4 linked regions of the Saccharomyces cerevisiae S288C genome follow. Changing the gene in region 1 together with any one later gene gives a genetic interaction. Each region holds a gene or a part of one and is shown on either strand. Other genes may lie near its edges. The genes, in order: NOP19, AFG2, COX5B and HFA1.

The links.
Region 2: mutations in NOP19 (region 1) and AFG2 together harm fitness more than expected from each alone (negative genetic interaction), as found in Saccharomyces cerevisiae (one large-scale study listed by BioGRID).
Region 3: mutations in NOP19 (region 1) and COX5B together harm fitness less than expected from each alone (positive genetic interaction), as found in Saccharomyces cerevisiae (one large-scale study listed by BioGRID).
Region 4: mutations in NOP19 (region 1) and HFA1 together harm fitness more than expected from each alone (negative genetic interaction), as found in Saccharomyces cerevisiae (one large-scale study listed by BioGRID).

What each region holds. Positions count from the first base shown.
Region 1 is NC_001139.9:993,978-996,787, forward strand, and holds NOP19 (Nop19p), read left to right. Parts: upstream 1-1,661; coding exon 1,662-2,252; downstream 2,253-2,810.
Region 2 is NC_001144.5:912,050-916,715, reverse strand, and holds AFG2 (AAA family ATPase AFG2), read left to right. Parts: upstream 1-1,823; coding exon 1,824-4,166; downstream 4,167-4,666. Other genes in the region: SKI complex RNA helicase subunit SKI2, read left to right, coding at 1-1,560; tethering complex ATP-binding subunit VPS33, read left to right, coding at 4,406-4,666. UniProt on the Saccharomyces cerevisiae protein: ATP-dependent chaperone which uses the energy provided by ATP hydrolysis to generate mechanical force to disassemble protein complexes.
Region 3 is NC_001141.2:153,711-156,339, forward strand, and holds COX5B (cytochrome c oxidase subunit Vb), read left to right. Parts: upstream 1-1,511; coding exon 1,512-1,512; intron 1,513-1,600; coding exon 1,601-2,055; downstream 2,056-2,629. Other genes in the region: HOS4 (Hos4p), read left to right, coding at 1-1,136; HPM1 (protein-histidine N-methyltransferase), read left to right, coding at 2,335-2,629. UniProt on the Saccharomyces cerevisiae protein: Component of the cytochrome c oxidase, the last enzyme in the mitochondrial electron transport chain which drives oxidative phosphorylation.
Region 4 is NC_001145.3:677,512-685,533, reverse strand, and holds the start of HFA1 (acetyl-CoA carboxylase HFA1), read left to right. Parts: upstream 1-1,969; coding exon 1,970-8,022. Other genes in the region: ERG12 (mevalonate kinase), read right to left, coding at 1-1,067. UniProt on the Saccharomyces cerevisiae protein: Catalyzes the rate-limiting reaction in the mitochondrial fatty acid synthesis (FAS) type II pathway. Responsible for the production of the mitochondrial malonyl-CoA, used for the biosynthesis of the cofactor lipoic acid.

The sequences.
Region 1 (2,810 bases):
GCTAGTAATCGGATCAGCGGGAGAAACATCGTACGTACACAAGAGAATACCGAGAGTGTCGATTAATCAACCACGCTCCATGAGGCTTATCCGCATTCTACTTGCATGTTAGCCGGGAAAAGACATAAATCATCTCAATTCTCTAGAATACTCTAGAGATTATGTAAAAGCGTAGCCCCGTAGATGATTAAATAATTTTCGGTTTCTTACCCCGTAACCACGAGTTGCGGTGTTTTTGCTTCTATCGGGGCAATAAGCGGGCGCTGCTTCTCGGGAATGTAAAAACTGTGCTTCCTACCATGAAGTAGTTGGATCTTGAAATGGGTTGGGCCGGAACAATATGCAAGTACTACAATCCTTGTATTCCCATATGATTATATTCCCCTTTGCATAGGCTAGTGTTTTTTTTTTCGTTCTTTTGTTTCTTCCGCTAGGAATAGTAGTGGCGATCTGCAGAAAGACGCTCTAAGGAAAAAGAGAGAATTTCGATCAGTCCCGTACACATTACTCTTGGGAAGTTCAATTCCTTCGGACGTAATCCACATACGAACTTGGCTCTCATCTGTTGTCTTCAAGCTGTTGCGGCCCTCCTCTTTCTCTCTGTTGTACACATTTTTTGACTTTCAAAAATATGCCGCTAAGGAAACATAACCCTTGTGTATGTGAGCTTGTAGCATATGATATAGTGCTCATTGGCATGTGACAAGAATTGCGTATGTAATTGAAGTTTGTAGTGTAATTTACGAAAATAGCCGCCCTTCTTCTTCATTAACGATTATTGAGCGTAATGATATAAGATACAACGGTTTATTTAGGGCTGCATCCATGAAAATACTTTGTAATAGTGAGTCGTCGCCTTGTTTGTTTATTCAATACAATGCAGTGTCTCTATAGTCTCCTCCTTTAGTTTCACTATCTTTTCTAACCGCCGAAGATATACGAGTGTTCTGAACGAAAAACGACCTTTTCAAACATAGAATATAATTGTATATATACATATACATATATGATACGCAGCCACATTCGTAGTATCTTTAAGACACTGCCTTTCAAAAAAGCTTTGGTATTTTGAAAGAAGATCGAAGCCAAGGAACCAGGACTACAATGAATTAGACGCTACAAAGTTTCTTAATTGGAAAACAAGGAGGGACAAGGAGGAGACTTTTACAGTAAACCAGAATGCTCCTTCACTGTTCAGTTATGTAATGTTATTGTTTGGAAGATCTGAAGAGAGGCATTTCCTACAACCTCTTGAATAAAATAGTGGAAGGCATTTACACAAAGAAGCCGTGCCACTTTGGTCCGGATTTTTTTTACCTAAAATCGTCTTAAATTGGCCTGTTCGATAGCTGTCATTTGTTTTAGATATTTATTTCCTAACGTCAGCTTTAGTTACAGTATGTATGTATCAACCTTTTAGTAAGACAATAATGATTGCATGTTTGATCCTGCTTTAAAGGCATTGGAAGTAACCGTAGTGGCCGCTGTTTCTTCTTGACGGCCTGTAATTGACCTGCGACGCGGGCAATTTCTAGCGATGAGATTGGAAAAACTAACGCATAAAAAAGATTTCAAGATTTATAAGATGTTGAAACAAATCCTCTTCTCACATCTACAGTTGATACAGTATACCGTATTATCTTTCCTCGGTAGTGTTCAGAATGAGTAGGGCCAAAGAATTACAAGAGAAGCTCAACTTGCAAGCGAAACTCCAGTCTACTTTCAGTAACAATACTGCTGCAGTTTTGGACTGGCTGAAAGAATCAGATGAAACCGGCATTAGCAATGATACAGAGCGTAACAAACAGTTAAAAGATCACAAGGAGTTGGAGGATGGTAAGAAGGCATTTTTCAAGCTTCCCGTTTTGCAGATTGGATCGGGCCTACACTTCCGCACACAAGATGACGCTTCCGCCAAAGAAGATATACATACGATTGGTGAGTTTATTGAGGGTGATAAAAAGGTAAGTTCGTTGGCAAAGAAAAAGAAAAGAAGTGACCCAGGGTTGCAACGAAATAATATGTACAGGATCACTAAAGATGATACGAAAGCCATGATTGCGCTTAAAAGAAAAATGAGGAAAGGCGAGAAGGAAGGACTAAGGAAGAAACAAGAGCATAGCAAAAGCAGCGTTTCGAACTCATATAGTGCCAGTGATGAAGAGGATGAAGATGCAGGGACAATGCCGCAAAAGTCCACAAAAAAAAAATTTGGTTTACTTTTTGATAAAAAAAAGAAGGCACGTAAATAATCTTAAACACTTATGGGCAGCAAAAAATGCGTCTTTCTTCCCTCGTCTGTTGTTTTATGTAGGGCGTAATGATGTTTGCTTGTCAACAAATGAATACGTACAGAAGAGAATTCTAGCCAAGGCAATTATTGCATACTGCAAGTACTGAGTACGTTAACGTTGCTAGAATAACATTAAATGAGATGTAGCAATGCAGATCCTTCCTCAGTAGGCTTAATGCTCCACTAGAATTTTTGACCAGCCACTATTTGCTTTTTTCGCAATCCTTTTCAATACTCGAGAGCAAAGACAAAAAAAATAAGACATGTAGTGCGCTGTATGGAAAAGAATTAATTAGAACTTTACAAACGCGTGTTAAACAGGCATATTTAAGTGTTTGGACCTAAACAATATATCGACTATTGAAATTCTTACGCAAGATTTTTTATAGTTGGATATTCATATATTCTTACAACTCTCTCTACTTTCAGTTTTTTGAAGCTATATGTATCATTATATACGTTTATGGATTTTTCAAACCTAAACAATTATACTGCGTAAATGTTTGATTAAGCAATA
Region 2 (4,666 bases), on another chromosome or scaffold:
TTGGATTCCACTGGTACAGTCATTGTGATGGCATATAATAGTCCTTTATCTATTGCTACGTTCAAAGAAGTAACGATGGGTGTTCCGACGAGGTTGCAGTCTCAGTTTAGATTAACATACAATATGATATTAAATCTTTTAAGAATTGAGGCGTTGAGAGTTGAAGAAATGATCAAGTATTCTTTTAGTGAGAATGCCAAAGAAACTTTACAACCTGAACATGAAAAACAAATCAAAGTATTACAAGAGGAATTACAAACCATAGAGTACAAAAGTTGTGAAATCTGTGATAATGATATCGAAAAGTTTTTGGAATTGATGCTGGCATATAAGGAGGCAACAGTCAACCTAATGCAAGAAATGGTTAAATCGCCTTCGATATTGCATATCTTGAAAGAGGGCAGACTCGTTGCTTTTAGGGACCCCAATGATTGCTTGAAATTAGGATTTGTATTTAAAGTTTCTCTGAAGGATGCTGTTTGTGTCATTATGACGTTCACAAAACCATACAAACTCCCAAATGGTGAGCCAAATCATTTAATATACTTTCCAAAAGCGGATGGATACAGAAGAAGGAACTTCCCTAAATTCCAGAAGACTGATTTTTATATGGAAGAAGTTCCTGTGACGGCTATTGAAGTGATCACTAAACGCAAGTTTGCCGCACCCTTGGGAAAAGTGATTAAAAAGGATGTTGCCGCTTTGAACGAGTTTAACGCTGAAACAAATAACATTTTGGACGGCAAAACGCTAAAAGAAGCAATTAACATTGAAAAGCAAGGTTTAAAAATTCACCAAATATTGTTAGACCGTACAAATATAAGGGATGAGATATTCAAACTAAAAAGCATTAAATGTCCCAACCTAAGCCAACACATTGTTCCCAAGTTTAAGGCGCATGTAATTAAAAAGAAAATTGAAGAATTGTACCATTTGATGTCTGACCAAAATCTGAGCTTACTACCCGATTATGAAAAGAGATTGGCTGTTCTGAAAGACACTGAATTTATCGACCAAAACCACAACGTGCTGTTAAAAGGTAGAGTGGCATGTGAAATTAATTCTGGTTATGAGTTAGTTTTAACTGAATTAATTTTAGACAACTTTTTAGGAAGCTTTGAACCTGAAGAGATTGTAGCCTTATTATCAGTATTTGTTTATGAGGGGAAAACCAGGGAAGAGGAGCCTCCTATTGTCACACCAAGGCTAGCAAAGGGTAAACAAAGAATTGAGGAAATTTACAAGAAAATGCTTTGTGTTTTCAATACGCATCAGATTCCATTAACTCAGGATGAAGCTGAGTTTTTGGACAGAAAAAGGTTTGCCATGATGAATGTGGTGTATGAGTGGGCCCGTGGTTTATCATTCAAAGAAATCATGGAAATGAGCCCCGAGGCTGAAGGTACTGTAGTCAGAGTTATCACTTGGCTAGACGAAATTTGCCGCGAAGTTAAGACTGCCTCTATTATTATTGGTAATTCCACATTACATATGAAGATGAGCAGGGCTCAAGAGTTGATTAAGAGAGATATTGTTTTCGCCGCAAGTTTGTATTTATAGAGAGCTCATTTATTCTCAATGTGAGTCATGTTTATAAAAGTTAATGTTTTCGAACTCTTATTGCACACACACACACACACGTATACATAGTTTTTAAGTCCACTTCGATCCATCTTTATTTTTTTTTTCTTTCATGTAAGCAACGGGCGGACTATTGTAAGAAAATTTTATATTGCCTCATCACATAAACTAATATGCGAACAATATACAATTGAATTCTCAACATTGCCCATTCTCAAAATTGCCCAATCATAGAAAGGAAAATGGCTCCTAAATCTAGTTCTTCCGGTTCCAAAAAGAAATCATCGGCAAGTTCTAATAGTGCTGATGCAAAAGCATCCAAATTTAAATTGCCTGCTGAATTTATTACCAGACCACATCCTTCTAAAGATCATGGCAAGGAAACATGCACAGCATATATTCATCCTAACGTATTATCCTCGCTTGAGATAAATCCGGGATCATTTTGTACTGTCGGTAAGATAGGCGAAAATGGTATTTTAGTAATAGCTAGAGCGGGTGATGAAGAAGTACATCCTGTTAATGTTATCACCCTTTCCACAACTATACGATCTGTTGGGAACCTTATCCTTGGTGATCGTCTAGAATTAAAGAAAGCCCAGGTGCAACCACCTTATGCCACTAAGGTTACCGTGGGGTCCTTACAAGGATATAATATTTTGGAATGTATGGAGGAAAAAGTAATTCAAAAGCTACTGGATGATAGTGGCGTTATAATGCCTGGAATGATTTTTCAAAACTTAAAAACAAAAGCAGGTGATGAAAGCATTGATGTCGTAATTACAGATGCGAGCGATGATTCGCTTCCCGACGTCAGCCAACTAGATCTTAACATGGACGATATGTACGGTGGATTAGATAACCTGTTTTATCTATCTCCACCTTTTATATTCAGAAAAGGCTCCACACATATAACTTTTTCGAAAGAAACCCAGGCAAATCGTAAATACAATCTTCCGGAGCCCTTATCCTATGCAGCAGTGGGCGGCTTAGACAAGGAGATTGAATCACTGAAAAGTGCTATTGAAATACCTCTTCATCAACCGACGCTATTTAGTAGCTTTGGTGTTTCTCCCCCTCGAGGTATACTTCTTCACGGACCCCCAGGTACTGGTAAAACTATGCTTTTGAGAGTTGTAGCAAATACGTCCAACGCACACGTCCTAACCATTAATGGCCCCTCAATCGTCTCCAAATATCTTGGTGAAACGGAAGCGGCATTAAGAGATATTTTTAATGAAGCAAGGAAGTACCAGCCTTCCATTATTTTCATTGACGAAATTGATTCAATAGCACCAAATAGAGCAAACGATGACTCCGGTGAAGTTGAGAGCAGAGTCGTGGCTACATTGCTTACCCTAATGGATGGCATGGGCGCTGCAGGTAAAGTGGTGGTAATTGCTGCTACAAACAGGCCTAATTCTGTCGACCCTGCTCTCAGGAGACCTGGCAGGTTTGACCAAGAAGTAGAAATTGGTATACCAGACGTTGATGCCAGATTTGACATTTTAACTAAGCAATTCTCAAGAATGTCCTCGGATCGTCACGTATTAGATTCTGAAGCGATCAAGTACATTGCTTCTAAAACGCATGGCTATGTTGGTGCTGATTTAACTGCTCTCTGCAGAGAATCAGTTATGAAGACGATACAACGAGGACTAGGAACAGACGCCAATATTGACAAGTTTTCCCTAAAAGTTACATTGAAAGATGTGGAGAGCGCCATGGTTGATATCAGACCCAGCGCAATGAGAGAAATCTTCTTAGAAATGCCAAAAGTTTATTGGTCTGACATTGGCGGCCAAGAAGAGCTTAAAACAAAGATGAAAGAAATGATACAGTTGCCTTTGGAGGCTTCGGAGACTTTTGCCAGGCTGGGAATTTCTGCACCAAAAGGTGTATTACTTTACGGGCCGCCAGGTTGCTCCAAGACATTAACCGCAAAAGCTCTCGCTACAGAATCGGGTATCAACTTCTTAGCTGTGAAAGGGCCTGAAATTTTTAACAAGTATGTAGGGGAATCCGAAAGAGCTATAAGAGAAATTTTCCGCAAAGCACGCTCTGCAGCTCCAAGTATTATCTTCTTTGATGAAATCGATGCATTATCTCCTGATAGAGACGGGAGTTCCACCTCTGCAGCTAATCACGTGCTCACATCTTTACTCAATGAGATTGATGGTGTTGAAGAGTTAAAGGGTGTAGTTATTGTAGCGGCGACGAATAGACCTGATGAAATAGATGCTGCTCTTCTAAGGCCTGGTAGGTTAGATAGACACATTTACGTTGGCCCTCCAGACGTAAACGCCCGCTTGGAAATCTTAAAGAAGTGCACAAAGAAATTTAATACAGAAGAGTCTGGAGTCGATCTTCATGAATTGGCAGACCGTACAGAAGGTTATTCCGGAGCTGAAGTTGTGCTGCTTTGTCAAGAAGCGGGCTTGGCTGCCATAATGGAAGATTTAGATGTCGCAAAAGTGGAATTACGTCATTTTGAGAAAGCTTTTAAAGGAATTGCTAGGGGCATTACTCCAGAAATGCTCTCTTATTATGAAGAGTTTGCTCTAAGAAGCGGTTCATCTTCGTAAGCTTGTTCATAGTCAATTCTTTTCCTTTGTGTGCTCAATAATAGTAGATAGAAATTATACTGAACTCCGGTCATTTTGTATAATATATTAATCACTTCACACGAACATACATAAATAAAATATCATAAAGGTTAGCAAATTGGAACTAGTTATATGTTAATTAGTTAAAAGATAGAAAATTCGAGAAAGGAAGAAAAAGCTGATATTGCCCATCTCCAACTTTATCAAATCATTTCACGATGAATAGATTTTGGAATACTAAGAAATTTTCATTAACAAATGCCGATGGACTATGTGCTACCTTAAATGAGATATCTCAAAATGATGAAGTTCTTGTGGTTCAACCAAGTGTATTGCCAGTACTCAATAGTTTGCTAACTTTCCAAGATTTGACTCAATCAACTCCTGTAAGGAAAATTACGTTACTCGATGATCAGCTAAGTGACGATTTACCGAGTGCCTTAGGCAGCGTTCCGCAAATGGATCTTATTTTTCTTATT
Region 3 (2,629 bases), on another chromosome or scaffold:
AAGAGGACGATACGAGGATGCTCAATCTGGCAGACGATGACTTTAATAACGATCGTGATGTCAAGGAATCTACAACTTCGGATTCGCGCAAGAGATTGGATGACAATGAAAATGTTGGTACTCAATACTCATTGGACTGGAAAAAACGTAAAACAAATGCCTTGCAAGATGAAGAAAAATTAAAAAGTATCTCACCACTCTCTATGGAACCTCATTCTCCAAAGAAGGCAAAATCTGTAGAGATAAGTAAAATACATGAAGAAACGGCTGCTGAAAGAGAAGCAAGACTCAAGGAAGAGGAAGAATACAGAAAGAAAAGATTAGAAAAGAAAAGAAAAAAAGAACAGGAACTACTACAAAAGCTGGCCGAAGATGAGAAAAAAAGGATCGAAGAACAGGAGAAGCAGAAAGTCTTAGAAATGGAAAGATTGGAAAAAGCTACTTTAGAGAAAGCAAGAAAAATGGAAAGGGAAAAAGAAATGGAAGAAATCTCTTATAGAAGGGCAGTAAGGGACTTATATCCGTTAGGACTGAAGATTATTAACTTCAACGATAAACTTGATTACAAAAGATTTTTGCCGCTATATTATTTTGTAGACGAAAAAAACGATAAATTTGTGCTCGACTTGCAAGTAATGATATTGTTGAAGGATATCGACTTGCTCTCAAAGGACAACCAACCAACTTCTGAGAAGATTCCCGTCGATCCCTCGCACCTGACTCCATTGTGGAATATGTTGAAATTCATTTTCCTGTATGGAGGTAGTTATGATGATAAAAAGAACAACATGGAAAATAAAAGATATGTTGTAAACTTTGATGGGGTTGATTTGGACACAAAGATTGGGTATGAGCTTTTGGAGTACAAAAAATTTGTTAGTTTGCCCATGGCGTGGATTAAATGGGATAACGTTGTTATTGAAAACCACGCAAAAAGAAAAGAAATTGAAGGAAATATGATTCAAATATCAATAAACGAATTTGCACGATGGAGAAACGATAAGCTGAACAAAGCGCAGCAGCCGACGCGCAAACAGCGTTCTCTAAAAATACCTCGAGAGTTACCGGTTAAATTTCAACACCGTATGAGCATATCCTCCGTCCTCCAGCAGACATCCAAAGAACCATTTTGGTAAAACAATTCATCGGTCCGTTGGCATATGCTCATACATAGTTGCATTTTCGATTCATTAAATACTATTCATGTTAACATAATTCCATATAATCGTACTGTTTTGTCATTATTATATCGGCATGACACTCACCAATTTCTTTTTTTGATTTTGTATTGTTCGATAAGGCAACGAACGAGTACTCGAAAAAATGTCATGGACCCCTTAAAATTACTGAGGGGTTCAGAAAATACCGTGCAAAAGACGAAAAAAGACGAATTTCATTTGATTTATATTTTATAAATGACTGTTGCATTAAACAATAGACCAATTATTTCAATTTAATATTCTTTGCAGGAAACTTTCACAATGGAATAACGCCACATATTCATTGTAAAGAGCATGTATAACAAACACTGATTTTTGTTTTGAGTTTTAAAAGATATCCATTTACTAACATTCGAGGTGTACAAGCACAAGTTTTGCAGTGTTGCGTACTTCTCTTACTAAAGGGGCACGGCTAACTGGGACAAGATTTGTTCAAACAAAGGCCCTTTCGAAGGCAACATTGACAGATCTGCCCGAAAGATGGGAAAATATGCCAAACTTAGAACAGAAAGAGATTGCAGATAATTTGACAGAACGTCAAAAGCTTCCATGGAAAACTCTCAATAACGAGGAAATCAAAGCAGCTTGGTACATATCCTACGGCGAGTGGGGACCTAGAAGACCTGTACACGGAAAAGGCGATGTTGCATTTATAACTAAAGGAGTATTTTTAGGGTTAGGAATCTCATTTGGGCTCTTTGGTTTAGTGAGACTATTAGCCAATCCTGAAACTCCAAAGACTATGAACAGGGAATGGCAGTTGAAATCAGACGAGTATCTGAAGTCAAAAAATGCCAATCCTTGGGGAGGTTATTCTCAAGTTCAATCTAAATAAGTAGACGAGGAAAATAAAATTGTTTCGTATATTCCGTGTTTGGGGTATAAGTAGATTGTTTTCATATATACGCATTTGGTCTTAGTTCAGTAGGTTGATTACTTAGTTCCTTGTACCTTCTTCTGCAAATATCATTCATTGTTACTTCGAAGAAGAAAAAAAATAATCATGGAAAATTGGAAAAAAAAAAAGTCCAATCTAAAAAATAAAAATGTTCAAGTCATCGATTCTATGGGGAGGAAAAGGACAATCAGAACCGAAGTGTTGTGTAGCTAAAATATGTCATTTTCCTTCGGCTTTACTTCCAATGACTTTGATGATGATGAGCTTGTTGCTCAACCTGAAACATTCGTTGAAAGCAGCAAAGAAAACGAAAATACCACTGCTTACATCAATCCATTAGATTCGGATTTCTTGTCGCAAGCTGGAGTTGTGCAGCCAAATGTGGAAGACCTAGGAACAATATTGGAAAGTCTTAAGGATGTTAGATTGACATTTGAAGAGTTCCAATCTCCGATATATAGAAAACCATTGATCAAGAGGGAACTATTCGATGTCAAACATCAGCTAATGT
Region 4 (8,022 bases), on another chromosome or scaffold:
CCGCCGCCACCAGCACCGGTAAGTTTTGTGGAGCCAATTCTCAAATCATCGCTCAGATTTTTAATAAGTTCTAATCCAGGATGAGAAACACCGATTGAGACAAGCAGTCCATGATTTATTCTTATCAATTCCAATAGTTGTTCATACAGTTCATTATTAGTTTCTACAGCCTCGTCATCGGTGCCTTTACATTTACTTAACTTAGTCATGATCTCTAAGCCTTGTAGGGCACATTCACCCATGGCATCTAGAATTGGCTTCATAACTTCAGGAAATTTCTCGGTGACCAACACACGAACGCGAGCAACAAGATCTTTTGTAGACCTTGGAATTCTAGTATAGGTTAGGATCATTGGAATGGCTGGGAAATCATCTAAGAACTTAAAATTGTTTGTGTTTATTGTTCCATTATGTGAGTCTTTTTCAAATAGCAGGGCATTACCATAAGTGGCCACAGCGTTATCTATTCCTGAAGGGGTACCGTGAATACACTTTTCACCTATGAAGGCCCATTGATTCACTATATGCTTATCGTTTTCTGACAGCTTTTCCAAGTCATTAGATCCTATTAACCCCCCCAAGTAGGCCATAGCTAAGGCCAGTGATACAGAAATAGAGGCGCTTGAGCCCAACCCAGCACCGATGGGTAAAGTAGACTTTAAAGAAAACTTAATATTCTTGGCATGGGGGCATAGGCAAACAAACATATACAGGAAACAAAACGCTGCATGGTAGTGGAAGGATTCGGATAGTTGAGCTAACAACGGATCCAAAAGACTAACGAGTTCCTGAGACAAGCCATCGGTGGCTTGTTGAGCCTTGGCCAATTTTTGGGAGTTTACTTGATCCTCGGTGATGGCATTGAAATCATTGATGGACCACTTATGATTAAAGCTAATGTCCGGGAAGTCCAATTCAATAGTATCTGGTGCAGATGACTCGCTTATTAGCAGGTAGGTTCTCAACGCAGACACACTAGCAGCGACGGCAGGCTTGTTGTACACAGCAGAGTGTTCACCAAAAATAATAACCTTTCCCGGTGCAGAAGTTAAGAACGGTAATGACATATTGACAGTTTTCTATACGTAGATATAAATTTGCAAGTTAGGACTAAGAAGCGCACCAGCTAACCAGGAAGTAATATCATGGCTAACTAACCTTTATAGGCATATCGTTGTATCGTTCTTCGATACCCTGTCGAAGATTTCAGTGCGACAGCCAAACGAGGCCCGAAAATTGTCAGTACAATTACAACCGATAAAATACACGTTGAGACAAAACTAGCACAAAACGCCTCTTTAAACATAAATGTGTACGCATTCTGAAAGTGAGATAGAGTACAAGGCTATCGCTAGCTTTCCACGGGAGAAGTAGTAGGAACCTCTCTTTTTATTGCTTATGACAGTAATAATAGCATCATTCATCAATGTTTCCGTTAGGGTAACTAAAATGGGTGGGCGGCAGATGACAAGAAAAGATGAATAATGAAGAATGATAAAGAAGAAGTCATCTTGGGTAGAAAGGGAAGACAATTACACACGGCCAAAGCTGGGGGGCTCGCCGGATACATTCTCACTTTTACATTACCATATTCACAATTACTTGCATTCGAATAGGACAGTACAAGCTCGCGTTATATTTGGATCCTTATCGATTCTATAATATAACGGGCAGCCAGATAGTACGGTTGAAAGGACAGCGCCCTGAATACAGAAAACGCATTTTTGCCCATTCGTATAGGCATTCATCTCGAATAGGTTTGAATTTTCCATCTAGAAGAAGGTATTCCAATTATGTGGATCGAGGCAATATTCATAAACATACTCGATTACCGCCCCAGTTCATAGGGCTAAATACTGTGGAAAGTGCCCAACCTTCAATATTAAGAGATTTTGTTGATTTACGTGGTGGACATACTGTTATTTCAAAGATCTTAATAGCAAACAATGGTATTGCTGCGGTGAAAGAAATGAGATCTATAAGAAAATGGGCGTACGAGACGTTCAATGATGAAAAAATCATTCAATTCGTGGTAATGGCGACACCTGATGATTTACACGCAAATTCGGAGTATATTAGAATGGCAGACCAATATGTGCAGGTACCAGGGGGTACCAACAACAACAATTACGCCAACATAGACTTAATACTGGACGTGGCAGAGCAAACGGATGTGGATGCGGTCTGGGCTGGATGGGGCCATGCTTCTGAAAATCCGTGTCTTCCTGAGCTGTTAGCTAGTTCACAAAGGAAAATACTATTCATTGGTCCTCCTGGACGCGCTATGAGATCATTGGGTGACAAGATTTCTTCCACTATTGTAGCACAAAGCGCTAAAATCCCGTGTATCCCTTGGTCTGGTTCACATATAGACACTATCCATATCGATAACAAGACGAACTTTGTATCTGTGCCGGATGATGTATATGTAAGGGGATGTTGTTCCTCACCTGAAGATGCTTTAGAAAAGGCTAAATTAATAGGATTTCCTGTAATGATTAAGGCATCCGAAGGTGGTGGAGGTAAGGGCATTAGGCGAGTAGATAATGAGGATGATTTTATTGCATTATATCGCCAAGCAGTGAATGAGACACCTGGGTCGCCTATGTTTGTTATGAAAGTTGTCACTGATGCTCGTCACTTAGAGGTACAGTTATTAGCTGACCAATATGGCACTAACATTACATTGTTTGGGAGAGACTGTTCCATACAAAGGCGGCACCAAAAGATTATAGAAGAGGCACCAGTGACAATAACCAAGCCTGAAACGTTTCAAAGGATGGAACGCGCAGCAATTCGTCTAGGTGAATTGGTAGGTTATGTTTCTGCGGGCACTGTCGAATACTTATATTCACCAAAAGATGATAAATTTTACTTTTTAGAACTGAATCCGAGACTACAAGTAGAGCATCCAACGACAGAAATGATATCTGGCGTAAACCTTCCTGCCACTCAACTGCAAATCGCCATGGGCATTCCTATGCACATGATAAGTGATATCAGAAAACTTTATGGTTTAGATCCAACGGGAACTTCGTATATTGATTTTAAAAATTTAAAGAGACCCTCGCCAAAAGGCCATTGTATTTCATGCAGGATCACTTCAGAAGATCCTAATGAAGGTTTCAAGCCCTCCACTGGGAAAATACATGAGCTCAATTTTCGTTCTTCTTCCAATGTTTGGGGTTACTTCTCAGTAGGAAATAATGGTGCTATTCACTCATTTTCAGATTCCCAATTTGGGCACATTTTTGCTGTAGGAAACGATAGGCAAGATGCAAAGCAAAACATGGTTTTAGCTCTAAAAGATTTTTCCATCCGAGGAGAATTCAAAACCCCCATAGAGTACCTGATAGAGCTATTAGAAACTCGGGACTTTGAGAGTAATAACATATCGACTGGTTGGTTAGATGATTTGATTTTGAAAAATTTATCTTCCGATAGCAAACTAGATCCAACGCTCGCTATTATCTGTGGTGCCGCAATGAAAGCATACGTTTTCACAGAAAAGGTGAGGAATAAGTATTTGGAATTATTGCGGAGGGGCCAAGTTCCACCTAAAGATTTTCTTAAAACGAAGTTTCCTGTTGACTTCATTTTCGATAATAATAGATACTTGTTCAATGTTGCTCAATCATCTGAAGAACAATTTATTCTTTCTATCAATAAGTCTCAATGTGAAGTTAATGTTCAAAAATTGTCCAGTGACTGCTTGTTGATCTCCGTTGACGGTAAATGCCATACAGTTTATTGGAAGGACGATATCAGAGGTACAAGACTTTCGATAGACTCCAATACCATATTTTTAGAAGCTGAACTCAATCCCACTCAAGTGATCTCTCCAACTCCGGGGAAATTGGTGAAATATTTGGTCCGAAGTGGTGATCACGTTTTTGCTGGACAGCAATATGCAGAAATAGAAATAATGAAAATGCAGATGCCACTAGTAGCGAAAAGTGATGGTGTAATTGAGTTACTAAGACAGCCCGGTTCCATAATTGAGGCTGGTGATGTCATCGCAAAATTGACTTTGGATTCGCCGTCCAAAGCTAACGAATCGTCTTTATACCGCGGAGAATTACCTGTTTTAGGTCCACCGCTAATAGAGGGTAGCCGACCAAACCATAAGCTCAGAGTCTTAATAAATAGGTTAGAAAATATTCTCAATGGATATCATGAAAACTCTGGAATAGAAACTACTCTAAAAGAGTTGATAAAAATATTGAGAGATGGTAGGCTTCCTTATTCAGAATGGGATTCCCAAATTTCTACGGTACGCAATAGACTACCAAGGCAATTGAATGAGGGGCTGGGAAATCTAGTCAAGAAATCTGTTTCTTTTCCTGCAAAGGAACTGCACAAATTAATGAAGCGCTACTTGGAAGAAAATACAAATGATCATGTAGTTTATGTTGCCTTACAGCCACTTCTTAAAATTAGTGAAAGGTATAGCGAAGGTTTAGCTAATCACGAATGTGAAATTTTTTTAAAGTTGATTAAAAAGTACTATGCTGTTGAGAAAATTTTTGAAAATCATGATATACATGAAGAAAGAAACTTACTAAATCTGCGGAGGAAAGACCTTACAAACTTGAAAAAAATTTTGTGCATAAGTTTATCGCATGCTAACGTAGTCGCAAAGAACAAGTTAGTAACTGCAATATTGCATGAATACGAGCCATTGTGCCAGGATTCCTCTAAGATGTCTTTAAAATTCAGGGCTGTTATACATGATTTGGCAAGTTTGGAATCTAAGTGGGCTAAAGAGGTTGCTGTAAAGGCAAGATCAGTGCTACTCAGAGGGATTTTCCCTCCCATAAAGAAAAGAAAAGAGCATATTAAAACTCTCCTGCAATTGCACATAAAGGATACTGGTGCCGAAAACATTCACAGCAGGAACATATATTCCTGTATGAGGGATTTTGGTAATTTAATACATTCAAATCTGATACAACTTCAGGATTTGTTCTTTTTTTTTGGCCATCAAGATACGGCTCTTTCCAGTATAGCATCTGAAATTTATGCAAGGTATGCCTACGGCAATTATCAATTAAAAAGTATTAAGATTCATAAAGGAGCGCCTGATTTACTAATGTCATGGCAATTCAGCTCATTAAGAAATTATTTAGTCAATTCTGATGGTGAGAGTGATGAGTTTACAAAACTTTCTAAACCTCCCTCAACATCAGGTAAGAGCTCAGCAAATAGTTTTGGTCTTCTTGTCAACATGCGTGCGCTTGAATCTCTGGAAAAGACATTAGACGAGGTATACGAACAAATTCATATTCCTGAGGAAAGACTTTCCAGCGGAGAGAACTCTCTTATTGTTAATATTTTATCTCCTATTCGTTACAGAAGTGAAAATGATCTAATTAAAACTTTAAAAATTAAACTTCATGAAAATGAGAGAGGTCTATCCAAGCTCAAGGTTAATCGTATTACATTTGCATTTATCGCCGCGAATGCGCCCGCTGTTAAATTTTACTCCTTTGATGGAACTACGTACGATGAAATCTCTCAAATAAGAAATATGGATCCATCCTATGAAGCACCGTTAGAGTTAGGAAAAATGTCGAACTATAAAATCAGATCACTACCTACATACGATAGTAGTATACGCATTTTTGAAGGTATTAGCAAATTTACGCCGCTAGATAAAAGGTTCTTTGTCAGGAAAATCATAAATTCCTTCATGTATAATGATCAAAAAACAACCGAAGAAAACTTGAAAGCGGAAATCAATGCTCAAGTGGTTTATATGTTAGAACATCTAGGAGCAGTTGACATCTCAAATTCAGACTTGAATCATATTTTTTTAAGTTTCAATACAGTTCTTAACATACCAGTACATCGTCTCGAGGAAATTGTGAGTACAATTCTAAAGACTCACGAAACCAGATTGTTTCAAGAAAGAATCACAGATGTAGAAATTTGCATCTCTGTTGAGTGCCTAGAAACAAAGAAGCCAGCCCCGCTTAGATTACTTATTTCTAATAAATCTGGGTATGTGGTAAAAATTGAGACATATTACGAAAAGATAGGGAAAAATGGGAATCTGATTTTGGAACCGTGTAGTGAGCAGAGCCATTATAGCCAGAAATCTCTCTCTCTTCCTTACTCGGTCAAGGATTGGCTACAACCTAAAAGGTACAAAGCTCAATTCATGGGTACAACATATGTGTACGATTTCCCAGGTCTGTTTCATCAAGCTGCAATCCAACAGTGGAAAAGGTATTTTCCAAAACATAAGCTGAATGACAGTTTTTTTAGTTGGGTTGAATTGATAGAACAAAACGGTAATTTAATAAAAGTAAACAGGGAGCCAGGCCTTAATAATATAGGGATGGTTGCTTTTGAGATTATGGTTCAGACACCTGAATATCCTGAAGGGCGTAACATGATCGTGATTTCTAATGATATTACCTACAATATTGGATCTTTTGGACCGAGAGAAGATTTGTTTTTTGATAGGGTCACAAATTATGCAAGAGAGAGAGGGATCCCGAGGATATACTTGGCGGCGAATTCAGGAGCTAAATTGGGTATAGCCGAAGAGCTGATCCCTCTATTTCGTGTAGCATGGAATGACCCCTCTGATCCAACAAAGGGTTTCCAGTACTTATACTTAGCTCCAAAAGACATGCAGCTACTGAAAGATTCTGGGAAAGGAAATTCGGTTGTTGTTGAACACAAGATGGTATACGGTGAAGAGAGATATATTATTAAAGCAATAGTCGGATTCGAAGAGGGTTTAGGTGTTGAATGTTTACAGGGCTCGGGTTTAATTGCTGGTGCCACTTCGAAAGCGTATAGAGACATTTTCACTATTACTGCTGTTACTTGTCGGTCCGTTGGTATAGGTTCCTATCTGGTCAGACTAGGACAACGTACTATTCAGGTGGAGGATAAGCCTATCATACTGACGGGTGCATCGGCGATTAATAAAGTTTTGGGTACCGATATCTATACATCTAACCTACAAATTGGCGGAACCCAAATCATGTATAAAAACGGAATAGCGCATTTAACAGCCAGTAATGATATGAAAGCCATCGAAAAAATAATGACATGGTTATCATATGTCCCGGCGAAAAGAGATATGAGTCCTCCACTTCTTGAAACTATGGATAGATGGGATAGGGATGTAGACTTCAAACCTGCCAAGCAAGTGCCATATGAGGCAAGGTGGTTGATAGAGGGTAAATGGGACTCAAATAACAACTTCCAGTCAGGCCTATTTGATAAGGATTCGTTTTTTGAGACATTATCTGGATGGGCCAAAGGTGTAATAGTTGGAAGAGCACGTCTTGGAGGTATTCCCGTGGGTGTTATTGCGGTAGAAACTAAGACTATCGAAGAAATAATCCCCGCTGACCCAGCTAATCTGGATTCTTCAGAGTTTTCCGTTAAAGAAGCAGGACAGGTGTGGTATCCAAATTCCGCGTTCAAAACAGCTCAAACTATAAATGATTTTAACTATGGTGAGCAATTACCATTGATTATCTTAGCCAATTGGAGGGGATTTTCTGGCGGTCAAAGGGATATGTACAATGAAGTACTAAAGTACGGGTCTTTTATTGTTGACGCTCTGGTTGACTACAAACAACCCATACTGATATACATTCCGCCCTTTGGTGAATTAAGGGGCGGATCATGGGTTGTTATAGATCCAACTATTAATCCTGAACAAATGGAAATGTATGCCGATGTTGAATCTAGGGGAGGTGTGTTAGAACCTGACGGAGTAGTTAGCATAAAATACCGTAAGGAGAAAATGATAGAGACGATGATTCGATTAGACTCCACATATGGACATTTGAGAAGAACGTTGACAGAAAAAAAGTTATCTTTGGAAAAACAAAATGATCTTACGAAGAGATTGAAAATAAGAGAGAGACAGTTGATACCAATTTACAATCAAATCAGCATACAGTTTGCAGATTTACATGATAGATCGACTAGGATGCTAGTTAAAGGAGTAATCCGAAATGAGTTGGAATGGAAAAAGTCACGCAGATTTTT